Arabidopsis thaliana: one gene and its partners. The protein of the gene in region 3 purifies or fractionates together with the protein of the main gene of each other region. This does not show direct contact. Each region holds a gene or a part of one and is shown on either strand. Other genes may lie near its edges.

Region 1 (3,758 bases), on a different chromosome or scaffold from region 3:
CGATTATTCATTAAATCTCTAAGAATTCAAAAAGAATTCGGTAAATAACTTTCCCAAAAAAACACTAATATTTGATGTAAGCAACAGAAGAAGTGTTGGCATCTTTGATAAGTGTACCAAGCAGAGGAGCAAGCAAACATTTCTTGTCTTTCTCTTTGTAGAAGTAACCCAAACACTTGCAATCACGATCGCACTTGGCCTTGCAATCGTTCACAGAAGTTGGGCCTTGTCCATCATTAACATAAGGCCCAGTAAAATGCTCAACACCGACTATCTTATAATAATTGACAGTTTTACCCTTGACTCCGCTGCAAAACTGCGTCGTTTTAGGTGGTGCGCATTTATCACTCCATCCGAGTAATCCTTTTGGTGTAGGACACGCGTTGCACATCCCACGATCGCAGTAACCGTAATCGCCGCAAAACGACGGCAAGCCACATTGACGGACGAAGTAAGTGGAGAAGAATGAGAAACTCTCTTCCCATTTGAGATACGTAGCTGCTGGGAAATACGAGTAAGCCTTGAGACTCCCGTCAGATCCGAGTCTTAGATACGAAATCGTTCCGTTGTAATTGATTTTGTTCAGATTTAAAGTTCCTCCTCCGCTTCCGATTGGTCTGACTTGGAGTAACCGGCGGTTATTACCCGGGTTCGTAGCGGGTTGTGGTGCGGGTTCTAAGAGAAGCTCGTAAGCTGACGGCTCCGTTAAATTATCGAATTCTCTTGTAACGGCGAAAGTGACGGTGCCGCGGAAATCGTGATCCGGCCATCCGCCGTAAACTAACGGCGTACCGGTTTTGTTAACGTACATGGTTAAACCTTTTTTGTCCAGCACCATGCTGTACGGACCATCTGAGCCGTTCGAATCAGATGTACGGCTAACGAGTTTGTTGACTCCGTTAACTTTTAACGATTGGCCGGTGAGGAGTGTATCGGTGGGGTGATCGAAACTCTGCCATACGAATTTGCCGTTTTTGTCGTGTAGGACGATGTTTCCGTTGGGTAAGATTTGGAATCCGGTGACGCCTTTGTTAGCTGTGTTAGTCTGCCATTTGACTCGTCCGTCAGCTTCAGCGAGGACGAGGTTGCCGTTACGGCCGAGTGAGAGTGTAGCGTTTTCTCCGACGGGGTTGTTGCGATTCGCGTCCCATATCCAACGCATGGTAGACTCGTCACGCCTGAGTCCGACTCGGAGAGCTAAGATGTAGGCGCTAGGGGTAGTGTTGTAAAACAAGAGCTGGAATGGTGATGTGAAGAAGCTCTGGTTTGATGATTCGATGAATCTGTAACTTGCGTCGTACTCAGTGATGTATTCACCGAATTCTCCTTCGTTGACGACTCTGAATTGTTTCTCCGGAGGGACTTGAGCTATAACCACCGAAACAGTGGCAATGGCAAGTGCCAAGGTTACTAAGATAGCAAATCGAGACATGATTTTGTTTTCTTGTGTGAGTAAAGGAGTGAGATGATTATGTAGAAGATGTATCTTGTGTTGTGGTATATATAAGTTGTTTAGCTTTGTAATATTGGCCGTATTCGTTTGAAAAGTCAAAGTTGCTAATTGCGACTTGACTAATTAAAGAAGAAGAGATCAAGCAAATTGGTGCTGTACAATGGAGCCGATGGCGACTTATGATTTGGATAAGGTTTGTCTAGTGCAGATTATCGAATATTCGTCATAACTATTTTGCTTTCTGAATATCATATAATTTATTTTCTTGTCGAAAGAAAATGATTAATCCTTTTATGCATTTATCTTAATACTATCATTTTCTAGAAGACTTGAAACCGGATTTTCTGCCTATGAGAGGATAATGAGGATTGGTAAAATATCACAGCACCGTCTTGGTAAAATAGACTTGAAGCTGTGAGTTTAGTTAAGTTTTGAAGAAAAAATGTAGTTGTGGATTTTTCTTAGATGCCACTGCGAGGGGCCAAGATTTGGCTTTTTCATTTAAAAGTTTAAGTACACGTATCTATGGGTAGCAGAGATCCATGTATCTTATTCTTTACATGTGCACCAAACGAAACCCAAACAAATAATGGCTGACAAAGATATCTACGATATCAATAATATTGCGGCATCTTGAATTTACCAATCACATAAATCTTAAAATTTTTAAAAATTACGATGTCTAACCGGAACAAGTGTGGAAACTAAAAACACCTAAGAAGCATAACGTTTACACTTGTGCTTGATCCTCACAACAAGTTCAAAAAAACGACGAATGAAGAAAGACTTGACAAGCAGAAGAAAGCTTTGGAAACGCAAGGATTTGCTTGCTAAGTTGAAACCTGTGTTCTTCTGCCCATAAAATGAATCGAAGAGTAAGCTCCTTGACAACTGCTGCATTCCCCAGGATGTATTTGACAAGCTCGGTTTCGACCTGATTCTCAACCGAGCTGGATATCATAGCTGTGCTGTATATCGTAACAAACTTGAGCGATATTAGCAGACACTTAGGCATAGTTGATCTTGAGATATCCAATATATCTAGACGATGATCGTGAACCCACTACATAATATCAAGGACAAGAAACGAAAAACGTAATGAGAATGTATAGTTTAGTTAAGTAATTCAAGAGTTACTTATAAAAATAAAATTACCAACTCTAGAGATTTTAGGTTTGGACAGCTTGCGAGAAACGTTGGTAACAACTTTAAACAAGAGGAGTCCATCGAAACTTCCAAATGGGTTAAGTTAGAGAACTGAGGCAATGGTTCCGAGCTAGAGTAAGCATACATAGCCTAGCAAAAACCAAGAAGAATAAATTAGTAATAAGTTTTCGAGACAGATTAATTCAGGATGAATAGTTACAAAAATATACATACCTCTAGACAACAGTAATTGAGTGCAAGATTTGTGACATTTGATATCCAAGCAATAAATGTACGCAATGTTTTCATCGTCAATGAGTTAATAGGATTAAACTCTCCTTTAGAGATACTAATATCCACTTTGAGCGGAGAACATACACTATTCAGCACAAGGTCTTTAAACCGGTGGATTTGAAGATTCAGAGACTTAAGCCTAGGAGCATCAATCACTAGCCCAATTTTTGTTAAATCTTTGTTCCAATCTAAATCTCTTTTCCAAATACGCATTCTCAAGCTATATAGTGTCTGAGACCGCACTCGTATAACTTCCACATTCCAAACTTTTTCAATGTACAAAACTTGAAGAACTGGGGAGGATGAGATAAGCCTCTCTAGAGCCGCTTCGCTCGAAAACCAAACCGATAGTAAATGCATAGTCTCAAGACGAGGTAGAGAAACGGAGTCAAAACTATCAATGCCTACCTCGACCAGCTTCAAGTGTACCAATGTTTCACACATAGAAATGCTTCCCGGAAGTTTTATGGGACAATAATTGTTCTTATGCAAGAACCAAATATTTTAGCAACAACCACAAGATGCTGAACTCCACGGGTAACCACTGAGTCGACCCACTTGTTGAAAAGGGATCCTTCAGTCTCATACTTCCTGCCGTCAAATTCCAACTTCAATTGGTATATGAGTGATTTCTTATCCAAATCTAGAAACCTGTTGACAAAACCCTTTAACCCCTTGTATCTGAAGTTAGTTTGGTTAAGGTCCAATCCAGGAACACGTTGCCAAATATATCTCCATCTCGTGGACAAGATACTGGTTTTAACAGAATCTTTCGTCGCAAGTTTTAGGAGTATCTCATGCAGTACGTGGTCCGGCAATAATTGGCTAATCAAATCTTTGTTTTCCATGTGATTTCGTCTTTTGT
Region 2 (3,758 bases), on a different chromosome or scaffold from region 3:
AATTGAATATTGTATAAAGGACGCATTATAATGATCGACTATTAATTTCAATTTTGATAATCTGAAGAACATCAATATCATCCATTTTTATTTTGATAATATCATACTTGACTAGGACTGAGCATAATACGCGAGTCTACGAAAACAAAAACGGTGAAGCATTATAACAACACCAATTATTCATTAAATCTATGAGAATTCACGTTGGTTTCGGTTTATAAATCTCGCTAATATTTGATGTAAGCAACGGAAGAAGTGTTGGCATCTTTGATAAGTGTACCAAGAAGAGGAGCAAGCAAACATTTCTTGTCCTTCTCCTTGTAGAAGTAACCCAAACACTTGCAATCACGATCGCACTTAGCCTTGCAATCGTTCACAGAAGTTGGGCCTTGTCCATCATTAACATACGGCCCAGTAAAATGCTCAACACCGACTATCTTGTAATAATTGACAGCTTTACCCTTGCCTCCGCTGCAAAACTGCGTCGTTTTAGGTGGAGCGCATTTATCACTCCAAGCTAACAGACCTTTCGGTGTAGGGCACCCGACGCACATTCCTCGATCGCAGTAACCGTAATCGCCGCAAAACGTCGGCAAACCGCATTGACGGACGAAGTAATTGGAGAAGAAAGCGAAAGTCTCTTCCCATTCGAGATACGTCGCGGCAGGGAAATACGAGAAGGCCTTGAGGCTACCGTCGGATCCAAGTCTCAGATACGATATCGTTCCATTGTAGTTGATTTTGTTTAAGTTTAAAGTTCCTCCTCCGCTTCCGATTGGTCTAACTTGGAGTAACCGGCGGTTATTACCCGGGTTCGTAGCGGGTTGTGGTGCGGGTTCTAAGAGAAGCTCGTAAGCTGACGGCTCCGTTAAATTATCGAACTCTCTTGTAACGGCGAACGTGACGGTACCGCGGAAGTCGTGATCCGTCCATCCCCCGTAAACTAACGGCGTACCGGTTTTGTTAACGTACATGGTTAAGCCTTTGTTGTCCAACACCATGCTGTACGGACCATCGGAGCCGTTCATATCAGATGTACGGCTAACGAGTTTGTTAACTCCGTTAACTTTTAGGGATTGGCCGACGAGGAGTGTATCGGTGGGATGATCGAAACTCTGCCAAACGAATTTTCCATGTTTGTCGTGTAGCACCATGTTTCCATTGGGCAAGATTTGGAATCCGGTGACGCCTTTGTTGGCTGTGTTAGTCTGCCACTTGACTTGGCCGTTTAACTCAGCGAGCACAAGGTTTCCGTTTCGGCCGAATGAGAGTGTGGAGTTGTCTCCGACGGGGTTGTTGCGATTGGCGTCCCAGATCCAACGCGTGAAACTCATGTCACGCCTCGTTCCGACTCGGAGAGCTAACACGTAGGCGCTAGGAGTTGTATTGTAAAACATGAGCTGGAAAGGAATTGTGAAGAAATTCTGATTCGGTGAGTTGAGGAATCGGTAACTCGCGTCGTACTCGGTGATGTATGGGGCGTAGCCGGGTTCGTTGAGCACTCTGAATTGTTTCTCGGGAGGGACTTGGGCCATGACAACCGAAACAGTTGAAATGGCAAGTGCCGTGATTAGTAAGTAATCAAACCTAAGCATGGTTGTGTTCTTTATGTTTACTGAGATTGAGTAGTAGAGTGAGATGATTTTCTATATCCTTTAGGTGTATATATAAGATCTTAACTTTGGGTCGTTGGGCTGTATTCGTTTGAAAGTCCTAAGTTTTTTTTTTTTTTTTTTTTGAATGGTCCTAAGCTGCAAATCGTGTCTTCGTTATACAGATCAACCAATGGCTCATTTATGATTTGGATAAGATATGTCTACTGAGAATTTTCGAAAATTATCGTATATACAAAAGTTGTGAGTAAAACACTAATTATATATATTGTTGTTAATCCGTTTTTATTACACAAATTTTGTATAACTAATCTCATGAAAATTGTTCAGACAAAGTTGACCATCGTTTTTGACAAAAGAAAATTTAGATTCTCCAATCGGATTCATACTTTAAACACTTGTTTTTAAATATAGAATGTACTCGTTTAAATACTTTAAACTGTAAAAATATATCTAAAAATCCTTTCAAGATTGCAATCTACCCGATCACCATTTTGATCTCTACTCAAATTAGTGAATATTTGGATAACTAAGTACCCACACTTCCCAAACTAGCTATATAAATTTCTCGATTTTACCGTCTTGTATGTAAATATACTTCATAAAGTAATTTTATATATTCTAAAGTCTAGACTACACATTCCACCTTTATCTGACCCGCCACTAGACTGTCGTATATATATATACAAATTTCCGAGATAATGCTAACAGATATAAAAACATCTCCGCCAGCTTTAACAGTAAAAAAATTAAAACTCACAATAATCATCTTGTGATGATCGAATCTTTTATGTAAGTTCAGACATCCAAAACAGTACTGTGAGTCAGATTTTGATGGTTGATGGATGCATAGCTGCTGGGCAAGCTTTCACTTTTTATCCCATGTAATGCTAAAAAGTAAAAAGTAAGACCACAAAACTTGTAAAAAATATGTACGAAGGGAAGTGGACCACACGGTTTGTCCGATTAAGATAGAATTATTGGGCTATGACAAAGCCTAAAGGCCCAATGAGTTGGAGAAGTGACAAAATTTTTGCTGTTCTTTTGACAGTATGAGTCCCAACGACCATCTACAAACCTCAGTAGTCAATTGAATTAAGAACCAAGTGAGCGGTATTCCAAGTGGAGGACCAGTGGACTACAAAACTCTTGTCAGAGGCAACAAAATAATGATAATGCTTCACATGGTATTTTGATTCTCAAAGGTACTATATATATATAGTAAATACATCTGATGGCTTTTTTTTAAGGTAATACAATATATTCAACGGTGGATCATTACAAGCACACCGATTATTCATTAAATCTCTAAGAATTCAAAAAGAATTCGGTAAATAACTTTCCCAAAAAAACACTAATATTTGATGTAAGCAACAGAAGAAGTGTTGGCATCTTTGATAAGTGTACCAAGCAGAGGAGCAAGCAAACATTTCTTGTCTTTCTCTTTGTAGAAGTAACCCAAACACTTGCAATCACGATCGCACTTGGCCTTGCAATCGTTCACAGAAGTTGGGCCTTGTCCATCATTAACATAAGGCCCAGTAAAATGCTCAACACCGACTATCTTATAATAATTGACAGTTTTACCCTTGACTCCGCTGCAAAACTGCGTCGTTTTAGGTGGTGCGCATTTATCACTCCATCCGAGTAATCCTTTTGGTGTAGGACACGCGTTGCACATCCCACGATCGCAGTAACCGTAATCGCCGCAAAACGACGGCAAGCCACATTGACGGACGAAGTAAGTGGAGAAGAATGAGAAACTCTCTTCCCATTTGAGATACGTAGCTGCTGGGAAATACGAGTAAGCCTTGAGACTCCCGTCAGATCCGAGTCTTAGATACGAAATCGTTCCGTTGTAATTGATTTTGTTCAGATTTAAAGTTCCTCCTCCGCTTCCGATTGGTCTGACTTGGAGTAACCGGCGGTTATTACCCGGGTTCGTAGCGGGTTGTGGTGCGGGTTCTAAGAGAAGCTCGTAAGCTGACGGCTCCGTTAAATTATCGAATTCTCTTGTAACGGCGAAAGTGACGGTGCCGCGGAAATCGTGATCCGGCCATCCGCCGTAAACTAACGGCGTACCGGTTTTGTTAACGTACATGGTTAAACCTTTTTTGTCCAGCACCATGCTGTACGGACCATCTG
Region 3 (3,758 bases):
TCGTTTGAGAATGTGCAGATCTATAGCGTCGTTGCAGATATTCTTGGACTCCGACCAGCTCCGAACAATGGTTCTTCTTTGTTCCCTCGGAGCATTCTCTTGCCTTTCAGAGCAACAAGGGGGTTAGAATGAAGCCAAAAATCTCTTATAGCTCAAGAGAGCACTCAGACTCAGAAATAGTAAGTAGCTTGATAAATGCGAGTGAGTGACTAGCTAGTGTATGTTTTCTATAATTCTATGTGACATTATATTTTCGATCGCGTACGCATATACCTTATCATTACCTAAATTGTTCCTAAATATTACAAAATATCATATTTGTATGATGGATGTGTAGTAACTAAAAACCATTCAGTATTCAATACTCAACTAGAAAATAAAGTCCACTGGGTCATATTATCTAAAATCTTATCAAAACTCAAAGGCTAATACAATACAATCTTATTTGGGATCAATTACGAGATCAGCACAATTAAGTCTGTGCCTTTGTCTAGTTAGGTAACTTCTCATATGCTTATAAAAATAGGTACTTCTCTCTCTGTTTATGTTACGCTTTCACCCTTCTGCAATTTTTCTTCATTTTTCCAATACTTCTCTCAATGGTGATGACGGTGAACTACGTTGACAATAACGAACAATTTTTTGGTTTAGAATTAGTGATGAATTGGGGATTAATTGATTTGAATCTTTTTTAAGAGTAGAACCCTTGGGTTTCTTAGATAGTATTCTTAGGGTTTATATTTCTTCCATAACAAATCGTTTAACTTGATTGATTGGATTAATTTGAGACGACGTTTTGGTGACGGAGAAAATTGGAAACAAAAGAGATAGTGTTTTTGATGGACTTAAAAGTGATGGTGTTGACAAATATGGTGCTTATGAAGCAAGTGCGGCAGTGAGAAGGGATTGAGGATTTGAGTTGCAGAAAAAATTGTTGACAACGATGGTGTTGTTATCAACACTATAACCTCTAACAAGGGGTAAAACCGTCATATCCCCTATCAATATATGCTTATTTCCATAAGTCCATTCAAAAAATTCATTTTTTCTAATTATTGGGCTAAAATGTGTCCAATCTTACAAAAGCCCCATCTTATTTGGCTACATTCTATTATTGGCTGGTCCCCAAACACTTTTAAACCGTATAGAGTTGGCATAAGCGTATTTTACATTTATAGGGACAAGGGTCAAACACAGGCCATCCAGTCACCACGAAAGGATCGGATATATCTCAACGTGAAAACACGTGAGTTAAATCAAGACCGTAAGATCAGATATCAACGGCTCTCCCGCATCTGGATCATGCAGCTGACAATAATGTGAACGTGACTTCTACCTAACTCTTATATTGTACTTATTCAAGGAATCTATAATTATTTTTCACAAACTGCCATAACGATTTAGAAAAGTAGTCAAAATTCCAAAAGTTGGAGGATATTTTTTTTATTGTCATTTGACACAAATATATAGAGTAGTAAATGTAATCTTTCATGTCCAAATTTTATTTTTGACAAATACCTCAATATGTCCGATTTAAATTTTCTTTTGTCAACGTCCCTTTAATTTTTTTAATCAATTTTTTGTACTTCATTGTAATAATATGATCACTAATAACATTTCCATTATTTCAATAACTGATTAATTTTTGCTATGTGATATTAATGATGTAATCTAAAAATTGTTGTACTAGTGAGTAGTGATGATTTATCAATCAAAACACCAACTCAACACCCAAGCTATAATATATACAAAAAAAAAAAAAAAAATCTAAACAGACAGGCAATTAAATATCCTCCTTAATTAAAGACAAAACCCCAAATAATTCTGATTTTATATATCACTAGCTATTATGTACCAACTACCATCGATCGCCCATGCATTACATGAGCAATATGCAGCATCAAAATTTCAATAAAAGTCTAATTCTGTTATTAAAAAAGGGAGAAATTACATTCTCACGCTCTATAAATAACATGAGCTGCAAGAACCATAACAAACCTTATTTCAAATGGCTAAAACCAAAAATGTTATTTCTTTCAAACTTTCTCTCATCTTCCTTCTTAATATTTTCATCGTAGCCACCATCGCAGCCGCAGCGGCCGTTAACGCCGGTACCAAAGGTTTGGATTCTCGGCCGTCCAAAACCAGGCGTCCCTGGCCTTTCAAGAAGCTCAACAAACCGGTGGTTTTAATGATCTCTTGCGACGGTTTCCGGTTTGGTTACCAATTTAAAACGGACACACCAAACATCGACCTTCTCATATCCGGAGGAACTGAGGCCAAACACGGTTTAATCCCGGTTTTCCCCACCATGACATTCCCAAACCACTACTCTATCGCAACCGGACTCTACCCGGCTTACCACGGTATAATCATGAACAAGTTTACCGATCCGGTTACGGGAGAGGTGTTCAACAAAGGCTTACAACCAAAATGGTGGTTAGGTGAGCCGCTGTGGGTAACCGCAGTAAACCAAGGTCTCAAGGCTGTGACCTACTTTTGGCCAGGCTCTGAAGTTCTAAAAAGTTCTTGGACTTGCCCTGAAGGATATTGTCCACATTTCAATCTTTCAGTTCCTTTAGAAGAAAGGGTTGATTCGGTCTTGAGCCATTTTGATCACCTTGAGGACGAAGTTCCTGATTTACTGATGTTGTATTTCGATGAGCCAGACCAATCGGGTCATAACTATGGTCCTGATGATCCTCGGGTTACGACTGCTGTTTCTAGGGTTGATAAAATGATTGGTAGGGTGATAAAGGGGCTGAAGCAGAGGGAGATCTTTGATGAGGTTCATGTGATATTGCTTGGTGATCACGGAATGGTGACCAACTGTGAGTGTAACGAGAAAGCGATTTACATTGATGACTTAGCGGATTGGATCAAGATACCCGCGGCTTGGATCCAGGCTTACAGCCCAGTGCTAGCAATCAATCCTCAGTGGGGGAAAGATGTCGAGAATCAAAGCGAAAAGAACGCGGAAGTCGTGGCGAAGATGAACGAAGCTTTGAGCTCAGGGAAAGTAAAAAACGGAGAGTTTTTGAAAGTTTACTTGAAGGAGAAGCTACCAGAGAGACTGCATTTTTCAGAGAGTTATCGGATTCCACCGATCATAGGAATTGTCGGAGAAGGTCTAATGGTCAGACAGAACAGAACAAATGCTCAAGTTTGCTATGGAGACCATGGTTATGACAACGAGCTCTTCTCGATGAGGACTATTTTTGTCGGACATGGTTCTAGGTTTAGTAGAGGAAAAAAAGTGCCATCATTCGAGAATGTGCAGATCTATAACGTCGTTGCAGAGCTTCTTGGACTCCGACCAGCTCCGAACAATGGTTCTTCTTTGTTCCCTCGGAGCATTCTCTTGCCTTCTGGAGCAACAAGGGAAGTAAAATGAAGTAAAATCACTTAGCTCATGAATAATAAGTAAGATGATAATGAGTGACTAATCTATGTGCTCAATCTTGTGACCCTTAATGTTTTTGAATAACCAGGTTTCGTGGACTGAAGCGACGTTAATAGAACAATTCGGCATCTTTTCTTTTTTTATTCGAATGTATATATCTAAATCATTACCTAAATTGTTCCTAAAATAATTCAATTAATATCATTTTTGTAGGATGTTTAGTAGTAAGTCACATCACACACTATGCAATACTCAAAACTAATTATTTCTACTTATATATATATTGCAGTCAGTCACATGTACCTCTCAATCCATAAAAGTCCAGTTTAGTAAATATTATATTGATAGTAACGTT

What was found.
Region 1: the proteins of AT4G29700 (region 3) and AT1G78830 fractionate together in Arabidopsis thaliana (co-fractionation; one large-scale study listed by BioGRID). This does not show direct contact.
Region 2: the proteins of AT4G29700 (region 3) and AT1G78820 fractionate together in Arabidopsis thaliana (co-fractionation; one large-scale study listed by BioGRID). This does not show direct contact.

What each region holds. Positions count from the first base shown.
Region 1 is NC_003070.9:29,637,077-29,640,834, forward strand, and holds the start of AT1G78830 (Curculin-like (mannose-binding) lectin family protein), read right to left. Parts: upstream 1,698-3,758; 5' UTR 1,433-1,697; coding exon 65-1,432; 3' UTR 1-64. Other genes in the region: AT1G78840 (F-box/RNI-like/FBD-like domains-containing protein), read right to left, coding at 2,214-2,516, 2,609-2,749, 2,834-3,376, 3,409-3,741.
Region 2 is NC_003070.9:29,634,174-29,637,931, forward strand, and holds the start of AT1G78820 (D-mannose binding lectin protein with Apple-like carbohydrate-binding domain-containing protein), read right to left. Parts: upstream 1,759-3,758; 5' UTR 1,596-1,758; coding exon 228-1,595; 3' UTR 1-227. Other genes in the region: AT1G78830 (Curculin-like (mannose-binding) lectin family protein), read right to left, coding at 2,968-3,758.
Region 3 is NC_003075.7:14,543,375-14,547,132, reverse strand, and holds the start of AT4G29700 (Alkaline-phosphatase-like family protein), read left to right. Parts: upstream 1-1,822; 5' UTR 1,823-2,008; coding exon 2,009-3,394; 3' UTR 3,395-3,758. Other genes in the region: AT4G29710 (Alkaline-phosphatase-like family protein), read left to right, coding at 1-132.